Coturnix japonica: one gene and its partners. The protein of the gene in region 4 interacts with the protein of the main gene of each other region in a pairwise test. Links are inferred from orthologs where the notes say so. Each region holds a gene or a part of one and is shown on either strand. Other genes may lie near its edges.

The links.
Region 1: the proteins of RBBP8 (region 4) and RBL1 interact in a two-hybrid assay, tested with the Homo sapiens proteins (2 studies listed by BioGRID and IntAct). The link is inferred for Coturnix japonica from reciprocal best matches to the Homo sapiens genes RBBP8 and RBL1.
Region 2: the proteins of RBBP8 (region 4) and LMO4 interact in binary tests that used the Homo sapiens proteins (3 or more experiments, as listed by UniProt). The link is inferred for Coturnix japonica from reciprocal best matches to the Homo sapiens genes RBBP8 and LMO4.
Region 3: the proteins of RBBP8 (region 4) and LIMS1 interact in a two-hybrid assay, tested with the Homo sapiens proteins (2 studies listed by BioGRID and IntAct). The two-hybrid records come from large-scale screens. The link is inferred for Coturnix japonica from reciprocal best matches to the Homo sapiens genes RBBP8 and LIMS1.
Region 5: the proteins of RBBP8 (region 4) and RBL2 interact in binary tests that used the Homo sapiens proteins (3 or more experiments, as listed by UniProt). The link is inferred for Coturnix japonica from reciprocal best matches to the Homo sapiens genes RBBP8 and RBL2.

What each region holds. Positions count from the first base shown.
Region 1 is NC_029535.1:560,413-564,373, forward strand, and holds part of RBL1 (retinoblastoma-like protein 1), read right to left. Parts: intron 3,416-3,961; coding exon 3,366-3,415; intron 3,360-3,365; exon of another isoform or gene 3,188-3,359; intron 3,181-3,187; exon of another isoform or gene 1,696-3,180; coding exon of another isoform or gene 1,640-1,695; intron 790-1,639; coding exon 603-789; intron 1-602. UniProt on the Homo sapiens protein: Key regulator of entry into cell division. Directly involved in heterochromatin formation by maintaining overall chromatin structure and, in particular, that of constitutive heterochromatin by stabilizing histone methylation.
Region 2 is NC_029523.1:13,757,865-13,762,617, forward strand, and holds the start of LMO4 (LIM domain transcription factor LMO4), read right to left. Parts: upstream 3,127-4,753; 5' UTR 139-3,126; intron 1-138. UniProt on the Homo sapiens protein: Transcription cofactor. Plays a role in establishing motor neuron identity, in concert with MNX1, acting, at least in part, to disrupt LDB1-LHX3 complexes thereby negatively modulating interneuron genes in motor neurons.
Region 3 is NC_029516.1:122,924,945-122,929,559, reverse strand, and holds the start of LIMS1 (LIM and senescent cell antigen-like-containing domain protein 1), read right to left. Parts: upstream 3,190-4,615; 5' UTR 3,095-3,189; coding exon 2,913-3,094; intron 1,305-2,912; coding exon 1,145-1,304; intron 1-1,144. UniProt on the Homo sapiens protein: Within the IPP (ILK-PINCH-PARVIN) complex, binds to F-actin, promoting F-actin bundling, a process required to generate force for actin cytoskeleton reorganization and subsequent dynamic cell adhesion events such as cell spreading and migration.
Region 4 is NC_029517.1:92,790,641-92,794,601, reverse strand, and holds part of RBBP8 (DNA endonuclease RBBP8), read right to left. Parts: intron 3,744-3,961; coding exon 3,646-3,743; intron 3,015-3,645; coding exon 2,887-3,014; intron 2,274-2,886; coding exon 1,388-2,273; intron 1,307-1,387; coding exon 1,180-1,306; intron 679-1,179; coding exon 581-678; intron 1-580. UniProt on the Homo sapiens protein: Endonuclease that cooperates with the MRE11-RAD50-NBN (MRN) complex in DNA-end resection, the first step of double-strand break (DSB) repair through the homologous recombination (HR) pathway.
Region 5 is NC_029526.1:4,019,274-4,023,234, reverse strand, and holds part of RBL2 (retinoblastoma-like protein 2), read left to right. Parts: intron 1-1,888; coding exon 1,889-2,017; intron 2,018-2,444; coding exon 2,445-2,605; intron 2,606-2,699; coding exon 2,700-2,764; intron 2,765-3,102; coding exon 3,103-3,289; intron 3,290-3,609; coding exon 3,610-3,776; intron 3,777-3,961. UniProt on the Homo sapiens protein: Key regulator of entry into cell division. Directly involved in heterochromatin formation by maintaining overall chromatin structure and, in particular, that of constitutive heterochromatin by stabilizing histone methylation.

The DNA of each region.
Region 1 (3,961 bases), on a different chromosome or scaffold from region 4:
TTGGTGCAAAAAGAGCAACTCCTGCAAAATCACTTCTAAGATTTAAATAGCACCATTAAAACTCTGCCAAGGAAGGCTGCCAAATCCACGCCCTCAGAACTTCAGAATAACGAGTTCCTCCTCCTAATGCTGGGCTCCCTTTCTCCAAGCTGTTACTGGGAGGTGTGAGTTAATTCCTTCTGATATCTTTTCCTATAGCGCCCATTTCTCAAATAAAGGCTCTATCATTGCCCTCATTTGCCCTATGAAAGGTTTCATGGTATTCTTACTGGGTATAAAAGAAGCACGAAATAACTCTGTGTATGGAGGTCTCAACTACCTAGACATTTCTCCTGGACAAAACAGCAGTAGTTCACAGGCTCCCACCCTGCTTAAGGAGCAGTTATTTACTGCATTACGTAACAAAGATGACACCACAATTTCTCTTAGCAAGACTGCCCGATTAAACCTACAAATGTCTTTCACCTCCTTCATCCCAGTGAACCACCCAAGGAAAGCAGCTTTTCCAAGTCGGCTCAGGGATTTAAACTGCGTACAATGATAGGAAAACTTGACTCCAAACTTAGGAGTACTTCCCCATGAAAACAAGTTCCACGAACCACCTTTTCAAAGTGCTGCTGAAGGTGACACTCCACGTGAGCTCTTGCTGCTGTTTTCCCCATTTGCAAATCTGCAGGAAACTTTCGAGGAGTTCCAATTTCTTCCTCTGCATCCGCTCCAAGGAAAACTCTCTCGTCAAAGTCACCCACTGTTAGAACATACTCCTCATATTCTTTATTCAATGCTTTGCTGGAAGAGAAGTCAAAGTTTTACAGTGAAAGTTAAGCTGCTGAACAAACACATAAACTGAAGCCAACACAAACTCAAAGCTTCTAATGCTCTCAGTAACAGCAGTGCTTGTACATGGAGCTTCCCTACACGAGCAGCCTGCTTACAGCCCCTCCTTGGCTGCCTTCAGCTCCAGGCTTCCCACAGCAGTGCACTGCACGGCCTGTTCTTCTCCCACCAGTGCTTCATGGAACCATAGAATGGATCAGGTTGGAAGGGACCTTAAAGATCGCCTTGTTCCAAGCTGCTCCCACCATGGGCAGGGATGCCCACACAGTGCACTAATCTCAGACACTGCTGAAATCATGGCAGCAGGCTCCACAGTTGAATTACTTCACACACTATCTACCTATCTATCTATCTAGAGAATCATGCTTTTCTGGACAATTTTCCCATCTGCTGATCCAGAAATTTTAGATTGAAACCTGCCAAATGAAGATGCATGTGCTTCAAACACCATTAACATGGACATCTTCAGAAATCTTACATTTCCCTTATTCTTTCCTAAGGAAGTAGAAAAAAGAACTGCCTTTCTTAGATGATAATTAGCATTAAATTAGTTCCATGCTCTCTACTGTGTGGAAACAGGAGAAATCCTCCCAAATGTTTTGAAAACCTAGTAGATAAACATGGAATGTGGGACCATGAGGTACTTGGTGACTCACTCTAAGGCTGCCAAAGCCTTTTTCCCAATTCCCTTCTTGTACCCATTCCCCTCTGTGCTGCAAAGTGAACAGATAGAAAATTTCATAGTAATGTGTAAAGAAAATGGAATCACTCTGGACTGGGAATGGAAAGAGATGTACTGTACCAGTGCTGGTATTCAGGGAAGTCAGATGATTGCACAGGTTGGGTTCTGAATTGCATGTGAAGGTGCTGTGCCCATGCAGTGAGATGACACTTGTTTTTGGAACAGAACTTGGAGACACCTGTGAGATGGAGGGCAAGTCCTTCAAAAGGAAGGGAATCTAGATGTGAATGGAGCTGCCTCCATGGCACAGGAGAAGTCTAAGTGCAGGATATAAAATGTTGACAGAAATTCCCAAATCAAAACAACTGCAGGCTGACTGAGCTCCATTAACATCAGGTAGTGTTGTATCTGCCAGGTCCCTGCTGCTGCTCAAGTTTCCTAGCAGATTCTGATTTCTTCACCACGAACAACTTAAATGAGTTGAACTCCAATATGTCCCACTGTGAAAACTCACTGAACAAAAAACTCATCCTGATTATAAGTCACTGGGCTCACACAGGGAGAAAACGTGCTTCTACCCCAGGGACAAACAGCTTTGAAAGAGCCCATCAGTAGTTAAAGCTCTGTCCAAGCAGAGCAGCAGGGGTTGCATTAAGTGAACTAATTCTGAGCTCTGATTTGGCTGCCTGGCGCTCAGTGGCATCCTCCCTCAACAGCACAGAGGAAGGGAAATTGAAGCTTCAATGCCCCAAGTCGCCACTGACATCCATGATAGTGAACAACCCCTTTGGTTTCTCAATTCCAGCCAACCTGTGCGTGGAAGAGGAACATTTAACCTCTCAAAGGCTGCGGAGCCTTCTGTTTGGGCAGACATAGATTGGTTTCCTCAGATATCATTTAATAAAGAATAGGGAACACTGCCTTATTTGGCACAACAGGAACTATCAATACTATCACTCTTTAAGCAGGAACACTAGCACAGCTCACTGCTCCATAGGGATCAGGGCAGCACCTCCACATCTGAATGCGATCCACACCGTTACAGCGGTGCAGTCACTGCTCACGCTTCTCAGAAAGCAAACAGACCAGCTCAAACCTCACCCTGCAATAATGAATTATCAGCTGCGTTTGGCAGAGGAAGAAGCTCTTGACAGGATCCAGAACAAAACAGAACAAATCTTCTCATTTAAATTAGTTTTGAGACTTAATGTCAGAAGCTCCTGCACAGATTCACTTACCTCCCCTGAAACCTCTGTGCTTTTTTGTGGTTCTGCAGCTGTTGCTCCTCTTTCTTTTGAGCTCTCCCACTGCATTCACAGATTTAGGCACTGAACTGGAGACTAATAAACAACCCTAAATACCTCCCTATTCACATACAAATATTGAGGTATGCATAGTTAACATATCCATGCACTTCAGAGCTTTGATTTGCATCAGACTACACAAAACTTAACAGCTGCCAGAACAACACAGCGTTATCTATGCTGGAAAAAGACCCTAAAGATCAAATTCTATCCTCAGGCAGCACTATGAGCCCACCACTAAACCACATCCACACAACTGCAATATTCCGGTAGGGATGGGGAGCTCTGCCCTGACCTGAGCAGCTGCTCCAGGCCTGAGCACCTTTCTGTGACCTGACATTAAGGAAGAAACTCTGTAGCTCACCCTCTGACACTGGAGCCATCTCAGACCCAGGAGGCATTTAGGCAAGTAACAGCATTGGTTCTCAAATCACCGCAAGCAGTGAGACAAAGTAAGACATGGAAAAAGTGAGAGTTAGCATTCAGAGAAACTGAAGAAACAAAACCCAAGTCCATGATTAGAACCGCAATCCATAACTTACTTATTTTCTGTAAAATTGCAAAGATCCAACAGACATTCTCCTTTTAAGATCTAAGAATAAAAAAAAAAAAAAAGAAAAGAAAGCAGAAACATCTTACATAACAAATCAAAACCATCCCACCTCAACAATGCGACAGCAAGTCGGCCCTTACCAAAAGCACAAGGAGCATTAAACAGACCTTTCCTTTAGCCAAGACCAAAGCAGCACAATGCTGCTGGTAAGAGGCACAGGCCAGGTCAAAGCTCAGGTCTATCCAACCTGTAGTAAATGCAGTACTCTGGAGCTGTGCTGTTACCTCTGCCCCTCGGCAGGGAGGAACCTACTGGGCAAATAGAGACATCTCCACGGAGCTTAGAAATACCTCCAGGAGCAAAACCACACAGAACAGTTTTTCCACCTGTGACCCCAACCTCCTCATTCAGAGCACTGTGTTTAGCCCATGACACACACCAGGATCCAGACAATCATGACAGCTACTCCACAAGATAACATCATCTTTAATTAAAACAGGTTATCACCTGCAATTTCCATACTGCCAAGGAAGCAAGGATTCTCCACTGACATAAGAAGCCAAAGCAGAGGGGGGCCCTACAGCA
Region 2 (4,753 bases), on a different chromosome or scaffold from region 4:
TCCCAAAGACATTTGGAGATCATAACATAAAATCTGGTGCTATCTTGTGATCTAGATTATTATCTTTTCCACAAACAGTTCAGTTCTGTTTAATAGACTATGCAATTGTCCATGGTATTATCTTCCAGAATATCTTACCTGGAAATTACTCTGTTAATCTGACTTGAAAGTAATAACATCCTCAGGAATTTCACAGTCACTGAGATGAATCTGTAAATACAGCAAATAACTAGTTTGTAGGAAAGTATTTAGTAATCTCACAAATAAACATGCAAAAACATTCAACTGACAAGAAACTACACTGGTGTCTGTAAGTATTAAATAATACTGAGAGCATTAAAAGTTTGCTATCCCTCTGAAATGCAATTTCTTACTCTCTCACTAAGCTCTCAGAGTTGAAGGAAAAAAACAGCATATTTTTTCCATTTCTGGAAAAACCCGTCTTTCTCAAAATGCCAGACCACCTCATTAGTGGAAGCCTTGGTTAGCTTATAGATAGCTGGCAGAGGTGTTTTGTTGTGCTTGTTTCCACTTCATTTTTTCCCCCCACCATTATGAGTAAGTAGAAGTAAAAGCACAGTTTTCATTGCCTGTAATGGGAGCAGAATGTGCTTTTATTTCATAGTCATTTTCCATTCTTCTCCTGGCAGTACCTGGAAAATCACGTGAAGAGAGATGCGACTGTGAGGTAACTTGGTGGTGAAGGCTCCAGAAGCCAACACTAAATGCAGATAACATATTTTTGACTAACAGTGCACATTTACAGCCTCTGACCAGAAATTAAAGAGTACTGTTATATGGAGAAGTCATTAACTGATATTTAAAGCTGGGAAATAGAGGAAGTATGAGGAAACCGAAAATGTAAGGCCTATATTTAACATCTCTTAACTTCAAACTGACCAACTAATGGGGCAAAGCCTTGAAGTTCATTTATAGTGGAAGAAATGAACATGAGACCTACGTGATTAATGCATCTTCTCCTTGAATGTAAGGCTTACGTTAGAAGAAAGCCATGCTGCTTTTGCAGTGTTTCAGAACTGCTGAAGCCAGATCATGTCCTCTCCAGATTCTGGATTAACCAAGGTTCAGACTATACAGCAGAACAGGTCCACAAAAACTTCAAGGCTTTTTTACCAACAGATTTAACTTGTGTCATGGTTAGAAACAGAGTTCATAACTAGTTAGGCTTGAATAGTTATCACAGGTAATGATGCATGGGAAGGAAAACATGCAGTGCTGGGAACATAATTTTCAGGGTCAACTTCAGAAAGCCATACAGTTTTATCTATAGAATCAGCAGAGAAGCAAGCATGCAGCCTGGCATATAAAGGTCATATTGAAGCCACTCTTCAGACATCTCCCTAGCTGGGTGTTGCTGAGCCTGGAGCTGAGCTGTGGCTTCTGCAGCCACCGGCAGGAATAGGGTGCTCTGCCTCCAGGCGGGGCCCACACAACTCTGGCAGATGCCAAGGGAGCAGAAGGCATTGACACCAGCACAAGGGTCCTCAAGATCTTCCAAGAACGAAGGCAGAGAGAGTAAAATAGAAGTAGCTGAGAGATGATACAGCTGCTTTGCAGAGTACAGCCACAACAGGAGCTGTAATCAGAGAGAAAACAGCGTGCCTGTCTGAAATGCTATTTCTGCTTTATTGTGTAAATACAGGAACTATGACTTCATGTCTCACACTTCAAGAGACATACTCTCAGGCTTGTTTTCTTCCATATCTGAGCTCTAAGACATGCAAAATGTGTCTCTGTATTTCAGTTCTGGCTGGAGGTTAATCTCTAGAAACAAGTAATGTAACATTTCCATCTATCTTTTCTATTCTTTTGGCGGTTTTAATTACACTAATATACTATGACACTTTAAACAAGACACATCTCAGCTTATGGCCTGCTCTGCAATGGTTCAGCTGCTGTGTGTGCTCCAGCACATTTTGCTCAGACAGGCTGCTGCAGGCTGGGGGTGCAGAATAGTGCCCTTCTGTCATGAGAGATTTCATTGCACTGATCATTGTGTATTTGACAGACTCTTTGTCAATGTCAAGTGTCTTTTGTGGTTAAGCCCAGTAAAGCTAAAACAAAAGGTCTCCTAGATATTAGATATATAGTGACATTACTGAATTCACTCGGAGGCAGTAATTTTTTGTCAGCCTCTGAAAAGAAAAATGGAGCTAATGGGAAAACAAAAGGAAGATGCTGGCATGTCTTTTTAGCTATTTTTGTTTATGTCAGACAGTGTGATTGACATCTGGCCCAGAACACCCTTTCAACCACCGAGGCTGATGTCATGAAACAGAACAAAGAGAAACTGCCAGGCAAGAAAACACTAATGGCTCAGAAAGCACTTTTTTGGGTTTATTTTCTTTTAAGTGTTTCATTTTCAGTAATCAGTATCACTGCACAAAAGTGCACTCATAGGCACCCCCTCTTACTATTTGGACTTCTAAGTTTCCTTTGTGTTTGCTTTCTTCCTTCTTGCCTGAATGGCACCACAGTTCTGGTTTGGTTGGTTGACAGTCTGTCATAACAGTGATGTTTGAGGTTAGTGAAAACTGACATGAAAAATACAATCCACTGGCCTTTAACTGAAATAGCAGCTCTGTTTTTTTGTGGAGTTGGCAGGCAGCATTTTTAAACCCCTTTCACGGTGAAGGCAGTTACAACATGTTTTTCTCTGTATCAAGCAGTTCCATCATGAAGTGCATTATCTACATCTGTTGTCATATCAGGATACTGCCTTTGAAGAGCAGTTTACTGTTTCTTGTGAGATCACTTCTGCTGAAGCACCCTAAGAGGGTTAAGGAAATTTCATGGTCATTCTCCATTGCCAGGCCCATTACAACGCTTTAACATTTATTTAAGAGAGTTTTAGAAGTGTCAGTGACCAGAACAGCTCCTGCAGACACACAACACCACAGAGACTTCTGCATTTGCTCGCCACTTTGTCAAAATAGGAAGAATCCCAGTGTCCCTCTAATATTGTCTAGAGTCATTATATACATTATAAGCATAATGTTCGCATTCTGCAAGTGCTGTAGATTTTGATGTACTTAGTCAGCGTTATGTGCTAGCAGGAGGAAATTATTCTCTAAATTTTTAACTTTGTCTTGAAAGTATGATGCTAAACATAAACCAAATGACTACGAAAAAAAAAAAAAAGCAACAATAAAACATAAAAGAAAGCTTTTGGCAAGACAAGAGCAGGACATTTTATCAGCTATTTAGGTACAGTTACATTCTGAAATCATTGGAGAATTCTTAACAAAAGAGATCTTAATCACTTTAAAAGATTCCAAGGAATTTGGCCTTTGAATGCATCAGGTGTGCTGCAGCTAAATATCCCTGCACCTTTTTAATAGGGTTTACTCCAGTATTTAATGCAGAGCTATATTCTCCTCTAGAAGCACACACTTAACTCCCCCCAGCACTAATAACAGATATGTTCACACATCGAGTGGAGAATTTTCTCTCTGTCTTTGCACAGTGTTCTAAAAAGAACTTTGAAGAAATTGAGAAAAACAGAAAGAGAAGTATATTAATTTTAAGGAGATGAAAGCACCACATGTCATTCCTAAATTTCATGGAAAATGCTCCGTTAGTAACAAAGATGAGCAGAAAATTTCAAAATCATTTTGAGCAGCATTAAAATCAGTCCTCCCTGATTTTCTGTTTTCCCCTTCTTTTCAAAGCACATACATTAAACTCATTTTATGCTTATAATGTATATAATGATTCCAGACAACATGAGAAGGACATTGGGATTCTTCCTATTTCGACGTATAAAGTGGCAAGCCAATTTATGCAGCTTAAACCATTGCTAAGGAAGATGTATCAAAAAATGCCTGTGATCATTACAAATAACAGCCTGAAATGTTCACAAGAAGCTGTTTGCTTATCATATTTTCATTAAAACATCTTTTCACCTGCTTTGCTTTTCCCATGCCTGTAACCTGCATTGTAATCAGTCTTATTAACTGAGAACATAAATATGATTTATTATAGTCTGATAATGGAAGCTGCATGGACCAAGAGAAGGGATATATTGTCCTTTGATAAAATGGCTCTTTTCTCTCAAATAGAGCTCTATCATGAGAGCATGCAGAATGTAGTGAGTGATTATTTCCTGAGGGTGAATGATGGCAGAACCCTACAGAAAATCTTCTTGTTGGCCATGACAGCCTCCGAGTGTCCCCAAATCTCACTGAGTTTGACAACCTGCAGACACTTTTGATGAACTGTATTCTTCTGTCAGAGACAGCCTGTCTGGGAGGAGAAAAGGGAACCTTTATCGTCTGATCTGCTATTATTGTCTTGATCTTTTATAAGCAATCTCTAATGCACATGAATATAATATCCTTTCACACAAGTGCCAAACATAATAGAAATGTAGTTTAAGGACCTTTTTCCCAGTTATGTAAATGTCCTAGTGCCATAATTATAAAAGATGGTTTGTGAATGATAGCTGTAAGGAAAGGATAATGAAAATGTTTTAACATTATCTTTCTGTTTTAAAGACCAAAACCTGTGATAAATAGCATTTATGGTACATATGGGGAACCAGTTTGTGCTGAAGCTTTTACCTAAAAAAGAATAGTTTTGAGCATAAAACTGGTGTTATATTTTCATAAAACACATAAATGGCAGCTGATCTTAAGCCAAGAATGATCACTGGCAGATATGACTTAAAGAAAATGAGTATTCCACTCAAAATCCTTCCATGGCTGTTACAGACAGAACAAAGCGTTATTAT
Region 3 (4,615 bases), on a different chromosome or scaffold from region 4:
TTGTCTTTTCTTAATTGCTACTCTTTTGCAGCCCACCTTTTGATGTGTCATGGAGCACTGCTGGCTCATTTGCCACAAATTGTGCTACACTATCTCTACAGCACTGAAAAACCTTTTGATCCTCAAGAAAGGTGAGAGAAAGTAAGCCCAGGAATCCCCTTTGCCAGCCTCTTTTTCCAATTAATACTCCTCTCCCCGTCTCCTTCTAACCATACAGCATGACTCTGTATAATTAAGAATACCCCTGTGGAAGATTAAATGTTGTGCTCTTGACACAATGATGGGCACTGCATGTGAAAGTGGGTTAGAACAGAATTTTCAGAAGCAACTGAACATTTGATAATTGTGTGCACTTTGCCTTTAATCTGTTAGAGCCTCAGTTAGCCATCCACAAACCTCAGGTAATAACTGCCTGTCTCCCATGTTCTACCCTTCCTTACACCTAGGGTTAAAGAAAGGTGAGTGGGGTTTTCCATTGAAAGTATATTAAACTCTGGGTTTACCTGACTCAGGCCTCATCTGATTTTGGCTGTCAACGCACCTTGACCTCAGCATGATGGCTTACAGGTCAAGTGATATTTCAGAAGCTGTGCAGGCCTCACTCACTCACTCAGCAATAAACCTCCTAAAGACTGCAGGATGCTGGGATTTCCCTTTGACAACTCTATTCTAAGAAGAATGCTTTCCCTGTATTTCTGATACAATATTTTTCTTTACAGTGAGGGTGACGGAGCACTGGAACAGGCTGCCCAGGGAGGTGGTGGAGTCTCCTTCTCTGGAGATACTCAAGACCCACCTGGACGCCTACCTGTGTGACGTGGTGTAGGGAACCTGCTTTGGCAGGGGGGTTGGACTTGATGATCTCTAGAGGTCCCTTCCAACCCCTACAATTCTGTGATTCTGTGATTAATATATAGTATGAAATGAAATGTATATGTATGAAAAAAAATCTGCAGAGGGAGAGGAATCTCCAGTAGTTCTTTCCTCACTTAAATAAGGTTATACGCACTGATATGCTCCAAACAGCCATGGAAACATTTCTTCTTCCTTCTCCCCTCTAAAAGGCATAATCTTTTGGAACTCCATTTCTTCCATAGCAGTTGCTAAGGTATCGATCAGCCTGTAATTACTTCTCCCAGCTTACCTCGTAGAAGAGCCCTTCCGGAAACTGCTGGAAGCACTGGGCACACACGAAGCACTGCTCGTGGTACAGCTCGCCATTGCTGTTGACGATTTTCTCTGCTGGCGCAAAGCCCCCTCTACAGCGCTCACAGATGGCATTTGCGAGTGCGTTTGCCATGTTGCTGTCATGAAAACAAGAAACAGAAAGAAAATGAGTTCCAAAGGCAGCACAACTGATTCTGGTTCTCTATATTTTTCCAAAGCCAATGGCATCAGCCTAATGCTAAGCTGTCCAGTGAAAACCTTTCCATGAACTTAATGACTTGTGGTGATCCCTTAGAAATAAAACTGTTTCCTTCTGGCTCCAAACTCTTTGGAAACAAAATCAATGCGTTATAATAACTATTGGTCATTGTTACAGATGCTGTCTCTTTATGAGGAGAACCATAGAATCATAGAACCACCAAGGTTGGAAAAGACCTAAAAGATCATCCAGTCCAACCGTTCACCTATTACTAATAATTCCCAATAATTAAGGACCTCACATTGGAAAATACGAAGGCTAATTCTAAAATAATTCACAATTCTAGAATACGAGAATACAACAGAATACAACATTAATTCAAAAGCTCTAAACAAGCAGTGTGGAAGAGTTTAAAATATTATACATGGTAGGTTGCTGAAAACCACAGCAGGTAAACAAAACTGTAAAATCACTTCAAGCTATGCACAACTTGTAGAAATAATAAAGTCATAGGATCTTTGGTTGGTTTGTTAGGGTTCATCTCCATAAAAGCAGATTGCAGCTCCTCAGCACCAGACCAAGGACAAGGAGAAGGTAGAAATACTCTGGCTGCAGTGCTGGGGTGCTCCACCATGACCCAGGCATAGGGCAATGCAAACAGGTGATGCAAAATAAAAGCTCAAATAAATAGCAATTTTGGTTGCTTCACAAAGGCATGTGACCACAGAATGAGTGTGATAGCTGCAAAGTATCAAGGGGATTAGCAGCTTCACTAGGATTGTGTTCACACATACAACAGTCAGTACAGATGTCTTACACTTAATTAAGGCCCCAGTACCAAAAAAGGGTCACTGTCCTCACAGTGAAACAACGAGTGGCCAAATTTCACAAAGGGGGTCAGGCTGAGGAAGGGTCTATTTCATACTTAAGAGTATCAGCATACTGAAAAACAGCACTGATTATTTGTATAAAGTATAGCTAAGCATACAGTTAGCCAATGGTCTACATGGATTACGTATGTTTTCTGAAGGGGGAAAAACGTCAGACACTTCACCCGTACTCTGCGTTAATCTGAACAAGCAGTATTCACAACATAAACCACGAGCCTCACCATCACCTCACCAGTTCCTGAGTATTAAGGGTGCTAAACTTACAAGTTACTTAATACTAAGTGCTGTCGGAGAAAAAACGTAATCCAAGTAAAAACACGTATGTAAAAACAGTGATGCATGCAACAGTCCTGCATTAGTGAAACAGCCTACACGTTCGCCCAAAACAAGCAAACAATCTGAAGTCAGAGACGACTTGGCAAATGCCAACCCTGCTTCAACCCCTGATAAAAACGTCTGACGCAATCACTGATTAAGTTCACAGCACCAGCTCAAATTCTAGTTGATGATTACAACTGGCAACATATCAGACACAGAGCTGTGGTAAAGGCTGCCTTAGAGAATGGCTTACAGAGCCCAGACGGTAAAAAACACAGTGACCATATGCCAATAATGTCACCGCGGTTACAGCCCAGAGCTGAGCAGCGCGGACTTACAATTTTGCGTAGAAGTCACAAAACTCTTTGTAGAGTTTAACGTCACTGTGCCTACGCTGCAGTTTCGACACTGGTTTCTCGCCTTCATTTCCCGTTGAGTTGTAGGCATTGTGAGAGACGCTGTAAGCGATCTCTTCATTCTCCGGGATCGCATAGGGGTAACCTCTGCGCTGGAAGTCCATGTTCCTCTAGCTGTTATCACGGGTATATATATTCTGTGCTTATATCGCGAGGGAGCTGGAGGCAAAGGCAGCAGAACAATGCGCCGGGCTTCCCCTTGTTCTCAAACCAAGTGACTAACTTTCAGCGCCTCTGTGTCATTGAGCCAGAGCTACCCAGCACCCTGCCAGAGCTTCAAGTTAAAAGCTGTGCTGCAGAGGAGCACATTCCAGCACTGGGCTGTCATGCACACCCAGATGCTAGAAAGGGGCTTTGCTGCTGGCTGCTGATGGAGAAATCCTCTTGGACCCGGAGAGCTGTTTTGTGAGCAACCAATGTGATCCAAGGTGTTCCTCAGCAAACCTGTCCGCAGGCTTATGTCTGCTGAGGGGATGGATGTGGATTCCAACAAGGCTTTGTCATGGGCTAACCAGCATGAAGAAGAGGCTTCTGTCATTAGGTAAATATTGTTTCAATGCTTGGGCATATTAATCACACTGTAAAAATGGCCTTTTAATGCTCCACTTATACCTTCTAAGGTATATATGCTGCATTTATCTATAGGCACCTTCCTTCTCATCAGCACTTCACAGAAAGCATAGATACAGAGGGCCAGTTTGTTTTCTGTTTTGCCTCACAGGCTGTTAACTGAAGTGCCAAGTATGCTATAATAGATGAAGGAAATGAAACGGAGCGTGATTTTCAGTACTGTGCTGCATTTAGAACAATCACCGAACACGAGGATGCTCCATAGATTTGAACACTGAAGTAATGCACTGTGGATATCAGGAAAGCGAGAAAGCAAGACCAGGAAGAAAGAAGCAAGAGTGAAAATGAATCATTCCTTCACCACAGAAAACCGTCCCAATGTTGCGATTATTTTACAGTTATGCTCTCTTCAAAAATCTAAAAAACCTAGCAAATTAAACTCATTCTTGAGCATTGATTGAGCTCTGCACCACATGTCTCAGCACTGGCTGAGGTAACTGAGTGTGTGCCCAGCAGAGGACATGATGCTCTCAGCTCAAACCTGGGCTCACACATCACTGTCTTCCCATGGCCTGGCCAATGCAGTGCTACAGATTTTCTTCTGGAAAGCAAAAGCAAACAGGCCAGATTTCAGGAATGGGTTTGGTCAGGGTTCTTCCCTTTAATTCCCCTTGGTGGCTTCCAAGCAAGCTGCTCCCGTGTGTCACAAGACATCATGGCAGGTGGGGCCAAGGCAGCATGACCTGTGTGTTTATGCACACACAGGTCTGATTATCCATCTTAGGATCATCAGGAGCCGCAGGTTGTAACAGGTTGAGGAGGCTGGAGCTCAAGCCCTATATTTATCTGCTGTGGGGCAAGCTCTAGACGAAGCACTGCTTGGGTCATAGCTATAGGTCATGATGACATTGCTGGTGCAGCACTGTGGGAAGCAGTGCTGGAGGGAAAGGCTTCTCCTCCTCCTGCTGCAGCACCCATGTCTTCTGTGCTCCCCGATGTGCCTTCTGGCTAAAGCAGACTTGTTCTGCAGGCTGCTGGCACTGCTGCCAACTGAG
Region 4 (3,961 bases):
CATGAACTGCACAACTTCTATTACTTAACAAAGAGAGATGTCTTCATGAATGTTTTCACAGGGAAAAAAAATCACAGAATCACACAATGACCCAGGTTGGAAGGGACCTCAAGGATCATGAAGCTCCAACCCCCCTGCCTGGCAGGGCCACCAAACTTCCATGTTTACTAGATCAGGTTGCCCAGGGCCCCGTCCAACCTGGCCTTGAACACCACACCTCCAGGGATGGGGCATCCACAGTGTCCCTGGGTAGTCTATTCCAGACATACTGGAAAAATCATGAGATTTAAAACATTTTTCTGTTCAACAAAATTCTAAGATACCATCAAGTCCATCTGTTTCACCCTGAATACCCACCACATGGCAAAGTCTATCAAATACAACAAGACAGTTGAAATGCTACAGGATAACTGAATAAACAAACATTATATAGGAGCATGAAAAAGCATCATGTGTCCCAAATTGATTTTAGTTAGCAAGTAGGTTTTATCTGCCTGGAATGAAGGTCATGATATTACTTCTAAAGTCTTTTTGTCCAACATTATGGAACATGCCAACCTGTTGCAAAGCGATGGCTCACCTTTGTATCAATCACAGTTACATCCATTTTGTACTGTGCAAGGTCAGCTCCTGGGTCTATGCTCCACTGAAGGTTTTCTAAAGGTTTTTCTTTCAGGTCTGAATATGACAAGAAAAGACAAATCAGAACCAAACTCTGAATCTTCAGAGAAAACATTTCAGGGTTTGTTGTTTCTCTCTCTCTCTCTCTCTCTTTTTTTTTTTTTAAAACAAAAATTAACATAAATAAATAAGACAGTGAAATAGGATTTCAGGAAGCCTGAGTTTAAGCTAGCTGTAATTCATGTGCTGCAGTAAGGCACTGTGCAGACAAACATGCTAAATAAATGAGATATAATATTATTCATTATTTGTTGAGTTTACAGCTGAATGTCAATGATATATTCATTATACAGTGACAAAAGAATATGGGAAAGATATTACTAAAGTAAAGCCTAATGAGATACAGAAGATTATAACTGAAAATCTTGAGAAGCACAGAACAGAAAATGACTAAATATGAAGCAGAAAAATGATCAATGTGGGAAAAGGCAGGATATAAAGAATTCTATTCATCTGTAGCATAAACCATGAGGATAAGGTACTAAAATGAAGAATTACCTTGCTCATTTGGCTGTACTTTATTTTTTGATAGTCTACAGGGGTTTGGTTGAAGTACAGATGCTGGTTCAGACTCTCCGTGCCCTGTCCTTGTTTTCTTTCTGTTTGGTACATGGTCACTGGCAACCTAACAACATATTGCAATTTTATTGTTTCCCAATATTTACATTTAGCATTTCAAGAGAAGAAAAACTGAGAAAAAACATACCTTCACATCATTAAAAAGTTGTTCTGTGTCTACAGTACTTGGCAGTGGTGTAATTTTTAAGGGAGGGACTTCTTCTTTCATTTGGATCTGTTTTTTTGTATCTGCAAATGTTTTTGCCAGCACCGCCTCTTGTATGTAGGGCTCCTCTTGCATACCTCTGCCAAACAAGCTCCTCTCGTTGTTGGCATTCTGAACTGACGATGAACCCTCATGATTGGGCTTCCCTAGCTGCAAAAAAACGTCATACAGAGTCACCTGCTTCAGTTTATTTTTACAGGTCTCCTCATTTCCTTGTTTTTTCTCTTGACAACGAACTCCACAGAAGCGATCAGACAGATCCAAGGGCTTATCGCCTGTGTGTTCCCCATTAACGTGCTGAATATCTGATAGAAAGGGTACAGAGTTCTCTTTGTTGAAAGATGCTTTTTCACAGCTAATTTCATTCTCATCTTCAGCTTTCTTTCTCTTTGCACACCTTCCCTCTGGCTGCTTCTGGTGTATGAGAAGGAAATCACTCTTGATCACCTCATTTTTAGCTGCACAAGTGTTTCCAACTGAAGTTGCAACTTCATTATTATTCTTTTTCACAACCATTTGCCTGTTGACAGAGACTTGGCTGATAACAGAATTGATTTCGGTTCCAAGATTCAGTGGTGCGACAAAAGCAACATCTTCAGATTTTGACCTATTTTTATGAGATCTAGAACCGGAAGGATGGTTGAAGAGGTTGATTTTGACATTATGCTTCGAATCAGAATCTAAAATACAAGACGCATGACTTGTACTTGAGTTGCTTCGTGTATTGCTAGAAGCTCCAAAAACAGGAGAAACTACCTGAGAATCCCAGTCAACACGTGGTGGAGTGTTTTGAGATGGACCTGAAAAACTGAACACAGTAAGAGATTAAATCATTTTCTGGTGGTTGGGGAAAGAAAGAGAGGGAAAAAAAATCTAAGCACTTTCCATCAATGATCTGCAAGAAGCTGTCAGAAAACAGAAGAAAAAAAGAACAGGGAAGCTTTAGGTCTAGGAAGAAAGGAATCTCTCCTACTGAAGGACTGTCCTTTAAGCGCTGTGAAATGGTAGAAAGAGGGAAGGGTTGAGAAAATAATCTATGTAGGCTCTTGAACAGATTTTATAACCATGACAACAGACTCTCAAAGCTTCTGCAAGAGAAGAGAAAGAGTAAAAATTTTATTTTCGGTTTCTTGTGGTTTTCTGGTTTTGTTTTGGAACTGCTCTGGTTTTCACTTGCAATCAATAAAACATATAGAAGATCATTCAGGGAAGGACTGCGTACATCGAAAGCTCACAAAGCACAACTCTGAAAGGGAAGTAAAAGTCCACAGCTTTGCATTTTATCAGTTCCTTTGCTTCTAGTGGTGACTTACTTACATCAAAGAAAACAGTATAATATGAAAATAGTTTTATATCTGTGTCTGTACCTTTAAAGGAAGACACTGTTTAAAACAACATTATTTTAACAAGTGGAAACACACCCCAAACTGTTGTCTTCATTTCTTGATTCAGGAGCTGAGTGCTTTCTTGAGTCTTCAGAACGTATGCCCTCTGGAGCCTGGTTCATCGCAGTACTAGCGTGGGGAGAACTCAGTACACTTTGGGACTCCTTGCAAATCATGAAGCAAAACAAAGAATGGAAGTGTTAAAAGCTGTTAAAGTCTGTAAGCATGCTAGATTTAGACATAAGTACTCCAAAGCCCCATTCAAATATAACCATTCACCTTGAAAAGTAACAAAAAAAAAAGATTAACTTTTCACCAGCAGCTTTTAAAGAAATCTAATGGAAACTTAAAAATTCCTTCAGATACATACATATAAACACAGGTACTATTTCTTCTTAAAGGAAAAAAGTACTATCATCTTAATTGTACTTACAAAGCAAAAACAATGGATACATCAAGAGTCTCAACACCAAGTAAGCTTTCTTAGTGTGCTATGACTTGATTACTGCACAAGCAGTGCCTAAGATTTATGCCACTGCCTTTGTCAAACTTGAAATACACGTTCATAGCAAGAACCACAGCCCTCCAGTCTCCTCTGAGTGCAGACAAGTCAGCTCAGTTACCTTCCCTATTGCTATAGGAATCCTTTATTACGTAAGAAAAAGAAAGCTAGAGTGAGCTTACTGGAACTCTAAATAAGTTCTGCAGAATTTTAATGCCAAATTGAAAAACATTTCTTTCCAAAACAACTGGCAAAAAAGTTAATTATGTGGGAAAACTGTAAGTAATACTTACGGATTCATCCTGAACAGCAAGTCCAATTGTTTCTGCAACAACCGCAGCCAAGTTAAAAGATGGCTTTGTAACAGGATAACCTCCCATCCTTGGTTTATCTTTATGAATATAAAGAAATTCACTTACTAACTTACATATATAAATATAGTATTATATTCTACTTACACAAGGGATACAGACTCCAAACTAAAACAAAATAATATCACAAACTGAAATCTAATTATTATAGAAATAGCTTAACCTGTTTCAGATAGAATCACATGGAAGCAATGAGTGGAGCAGAGGGAAGAAAGCATTTCTGATGAGAACAAACTGC
Region 5 (3,961 bases), on a different chromosome or scaffold from region 4:
AGAAAGTGCCTCCTTGGAGCAGTCTGAACGAATGCACCTGAATTCCTGCAGCTGTTTGTTTTCCCAGCTGTCGGAGGTGAGCACTGTGCCCTGCCAGCCTGGTAGCTTTATCTGAAATACTGCTCCAGGGTTTGCTGTATTTTGGCGATTTAGGCTGTAATACTAAAAGAAAATCAGCTCAGAGTTGTAGTGAATTCATATTTTGATAGTTGTAATTAATGTAAATTATTGCTTTATGTTCCCTAGGAACAAAATGATTTTAATTTCCTTATAAGTTTCAAATAACAGTGATAATACATAATGGATTCTGTTCTGTAACACAGAACTGTGTCATGAGGCTGTAGCTGAGGGGACTTTCGAGGCACTCTCACAGGTAGCACTTGGATTTGTTCACCTAAGTGCCTGGCTGGAAGACTCAGATTCCCTTGGATCATACATGTGAAATGCTCTGTTAACAGGCTTCCCTGGAAACAAAGCAGGGAGGAGCCGGTATATTGCCGTGCAAGTATTGCCTTTATTGTAAGAGCACCCTTAAAGCTGATATGAATAGCAGAGGATTTCAGTCATTTTTCTTCTTTAATGACTGATTGGAGAAAAAGACAGAAGGGAATGGAAGTAAATCCTTTTGTATGAGGGGCAGTGAAGCTCCCCAGCATTTTTGGCTTAAGTTGTTCAGTTGTACAGCATCATCTACAGTAGGAATTGATTCGGGTACGGTCAGGATGGGTTCACTGGGAGTCCTTTGAACGTAAGTTAGGTCGTATTCTGGTCCTTCTGTAATTTCCAGGGAGTTGTTTTATTATTATAAGAACTTCATGAGAAAGGAGAGCTTGTGGGACTGCTTGGGATTGCAGGGTCAGTCAGTGTAGGCTTCCTGCAGTATCTCCCTGGTTGTTTCTGAGGATAGGACGCAGTACGTTGTCTCACTATGGACTTTCTGGCAGTAGCTCTGTCCTGTACAGCTGAGCCTTTCTATTCACCACCAAGCAGAGCGCTGCCAGCAGGCTTCATTTGGGAAAAGTCACTGGCAATATCCCTGGATCTTTGCAGGCATGTGAAGAAAGGTGTGATGCTGTACCAAACAACTGTGTCCTGTGTAGAAGCTGCTTCATAGGCTGCAAGTTGCTCCTGAACAGGCACAGAGGGTCTGGGCAGGTCTTGTTCCTGCTGAGTGTTGGTTGGTATGTTTGAGTAAGCAGGTCATCATTAAGTACGTGTTGACTGGCAAACAGTTTCAGACGTACAGATTAACTCTGTGGACTGGAACACAGTGTTGATAACAGCCCATTAATTTTATGAGACAAACAATTACAGTACTTATGAACTGCAAAATTAATAAGTGACGAGTGGTACCTTATGAAGTGTGGCAGTACAACAATGTGAAGTGAATGTGCACCACTGGAGGAATTGAATATTCCCCATTTGTTTGCTGTGTTTTGAGGGCCGGCAGTAATCCTTAGCGTGGCAACCACACATCAGCAGCAAGTTGAGGCTTGTCGCCGTGATATTTCTGCAAACCTCAGCATCTTGTGTTTGGTTTCACAAGTCAGAAAGCGTCAGTCTTGTTCCTGCACTTGGTGTATGCTGCAAAGGAAGGTAGTGACCCTTGTGGCCATAGAGCTGCTCTCATCTGCTGAACTTATTTATAGACTCTGATCAGAAAACTGAACATAAAGGTGAACAAACGCAATGATATGTGCTTTGTTTTAGCTGTGTCTGTTTTACTCCCTGTGTTTCGATCCAGATATTGACAATCCGGTCACCAAAATCTGTGCTTAAAATACTCCACTGTTGATTGGAAATGCAAATCTTGATAGTTCTGTTTTGTGAAATAATTTCAAGTCTATGCTGCTTTTAATTAATCTCATTTATCTTTCTTGTTTTGAAGGTAATTTTCCCATGATCAGTGATGACTTGGTCAATTCCTATCATCTCTTGTTATGTGCTTTGGATCTGGTGTATGGAAATGCTCTCCAGTGCCCCAACCACAAAGAACTTCTGAATCCCAATTTTAAAGGTATGTTGGGAAAAAAAAAGTCTTTATCTAAAATCTGCACAAACCTCTGAGGCTGCTGAAATGGATGTGAAGGTGGGCGGTAGGCAGAATGGTATGGTTCATTTTCAGTACTGTGTTGTATTGTATTGTATTTACTGAATAAATAATACTGAACTTATTTGAATAAATATTACAGCTCATAAGTGCTTCATCATTTGTCTATTAGAACCGATGCTATTTATCACTGAATATCTGAGCTCTTTGGGTTTGTCACTTGAAAGGCAGTTCTGATAAGATTATCCAGTTGAGGGTGTACAGCTTTTCTTTCGAGGGGACAAAATAGTTTTCTGTTTTAATTTCAGGCTACATGGGCATCATAGCAAAGAATGTGAGTTCACTAAGGTATGACTATTCGGAATCAAACAGTACTTCCTTTGTCTCTCTATAGGTCTGCCTGAAGACTTTCACAGTAAGGATTATAAAACATCATCTGACCCCCCCTGCATCATTGAAAAGCTGTGTTCATTACATTACGGATTAGTTTTAGAAGCAAAAGGCATCAAGGAGCATTTTTGGAAGCCGTACATTCGGAAACTTTTTGACAAGAAGGTTGGTGGGTGCATTCAGGATGCAGAAAATGCTTCTCTACTTGTTGTCTTCAGAACTTTAACGACTGCCGTGTCTCCGTTCTTTGCTCTTTCAGCTCTTAAAAGGAAAAGATGAAAATCTGACTGGATTTCTGGATCCTGGAAACTTTGGAGACAGCTTGTGAGTCAGCTTGTGCTTTGGTCTGCATTTGTGTCCCTTTGGGTTATTACCTGTATCTTATCACTAATACTAGCTAGTTAATTTATAGATATATTACTATTTATATATTATATTAAAAGGCATTTCAGCTCTTTGCTGGTTGAGGCCTTTTCAGCATAGCATTGCTCGATGTCTGCTCTTGTTCATGTTTCCATGGTCTTTTCTATACGATGTAAAGCGTTAGGAAGAAAAAGCAAGTTCTGAGGCCTTCAGATAGGCCAAGAAGTGTGTTCAGTCAGAAAGCAGGTAGTGAAAGCGCTGTCTAAACTAAAGGGCTTTTTTTCTCTTTTCCCCTGTAGCAAAGCCATCAACAAGGCCTATGAGGAGTATGTCTTGTCAGTAGGAAACCTCGATGAGCGAATATTCCTCGGGGAGGATGCAGATGAAGAAATTGGAACTCTCACACGGTGCTTAAATACACCCTCAGGAATGGAAACAGCTGAGCGAGTACAAGTGAAGCATAATTTACAGCAGCACTTTGACAGAGTGAGTCTGGCACAGTCCTTTGATGTTCCTGTGGAGAAGGAGTTGTCCAATTGTGGCGTTTCAGCGTGAGGTCATTTTGTCACTGCTCAGATACTTCTGTGTTAGTATTTGACACAGGCATCCAAGCCACAGATAGACCTGATGCTGATGGTTGTTACTGGGAGAGAACTGGTTTGGGTTGTTTGATTCCAGCTCTCCTTTCATAGATAGATATATATTGTAACCAGCTAAGAAACAATTCTAGCACCTGACACTTTAAGTCTCTTACAAGGTCTGAGTGCTGTAATAATGTACAGAGAGATGCTTTGTTTTCTTTCTAGTCTAAATCGCTTCGGATGTCGACCCCCCTCACTGGCCGCAAGTACATTAAGGAGAGCAACCCCTATGTGACACCCATTTCCATAGCAACGTACAGCTTGAGCCGCCTTCACACCATGCTGGCGGGGCTGAAAAATGCCCCCAGTGAAAACCTGGAGCAAATCTTCAGGTAACTTTGATGCTTAGCTACAAAAGTTAGAAACTATAATAACAAATGTGAAATAGCGTAACTTAAAAGGTAAAGTGTTGGAAGCCTGGAGTGAAATAGGAGCCAGAGGGACATTCAGCTTCAGAAAGGCTCTTGTCTTTATTTCTGCACGTTTATCCTTGAGAGATCGACAGTGATAACAACAC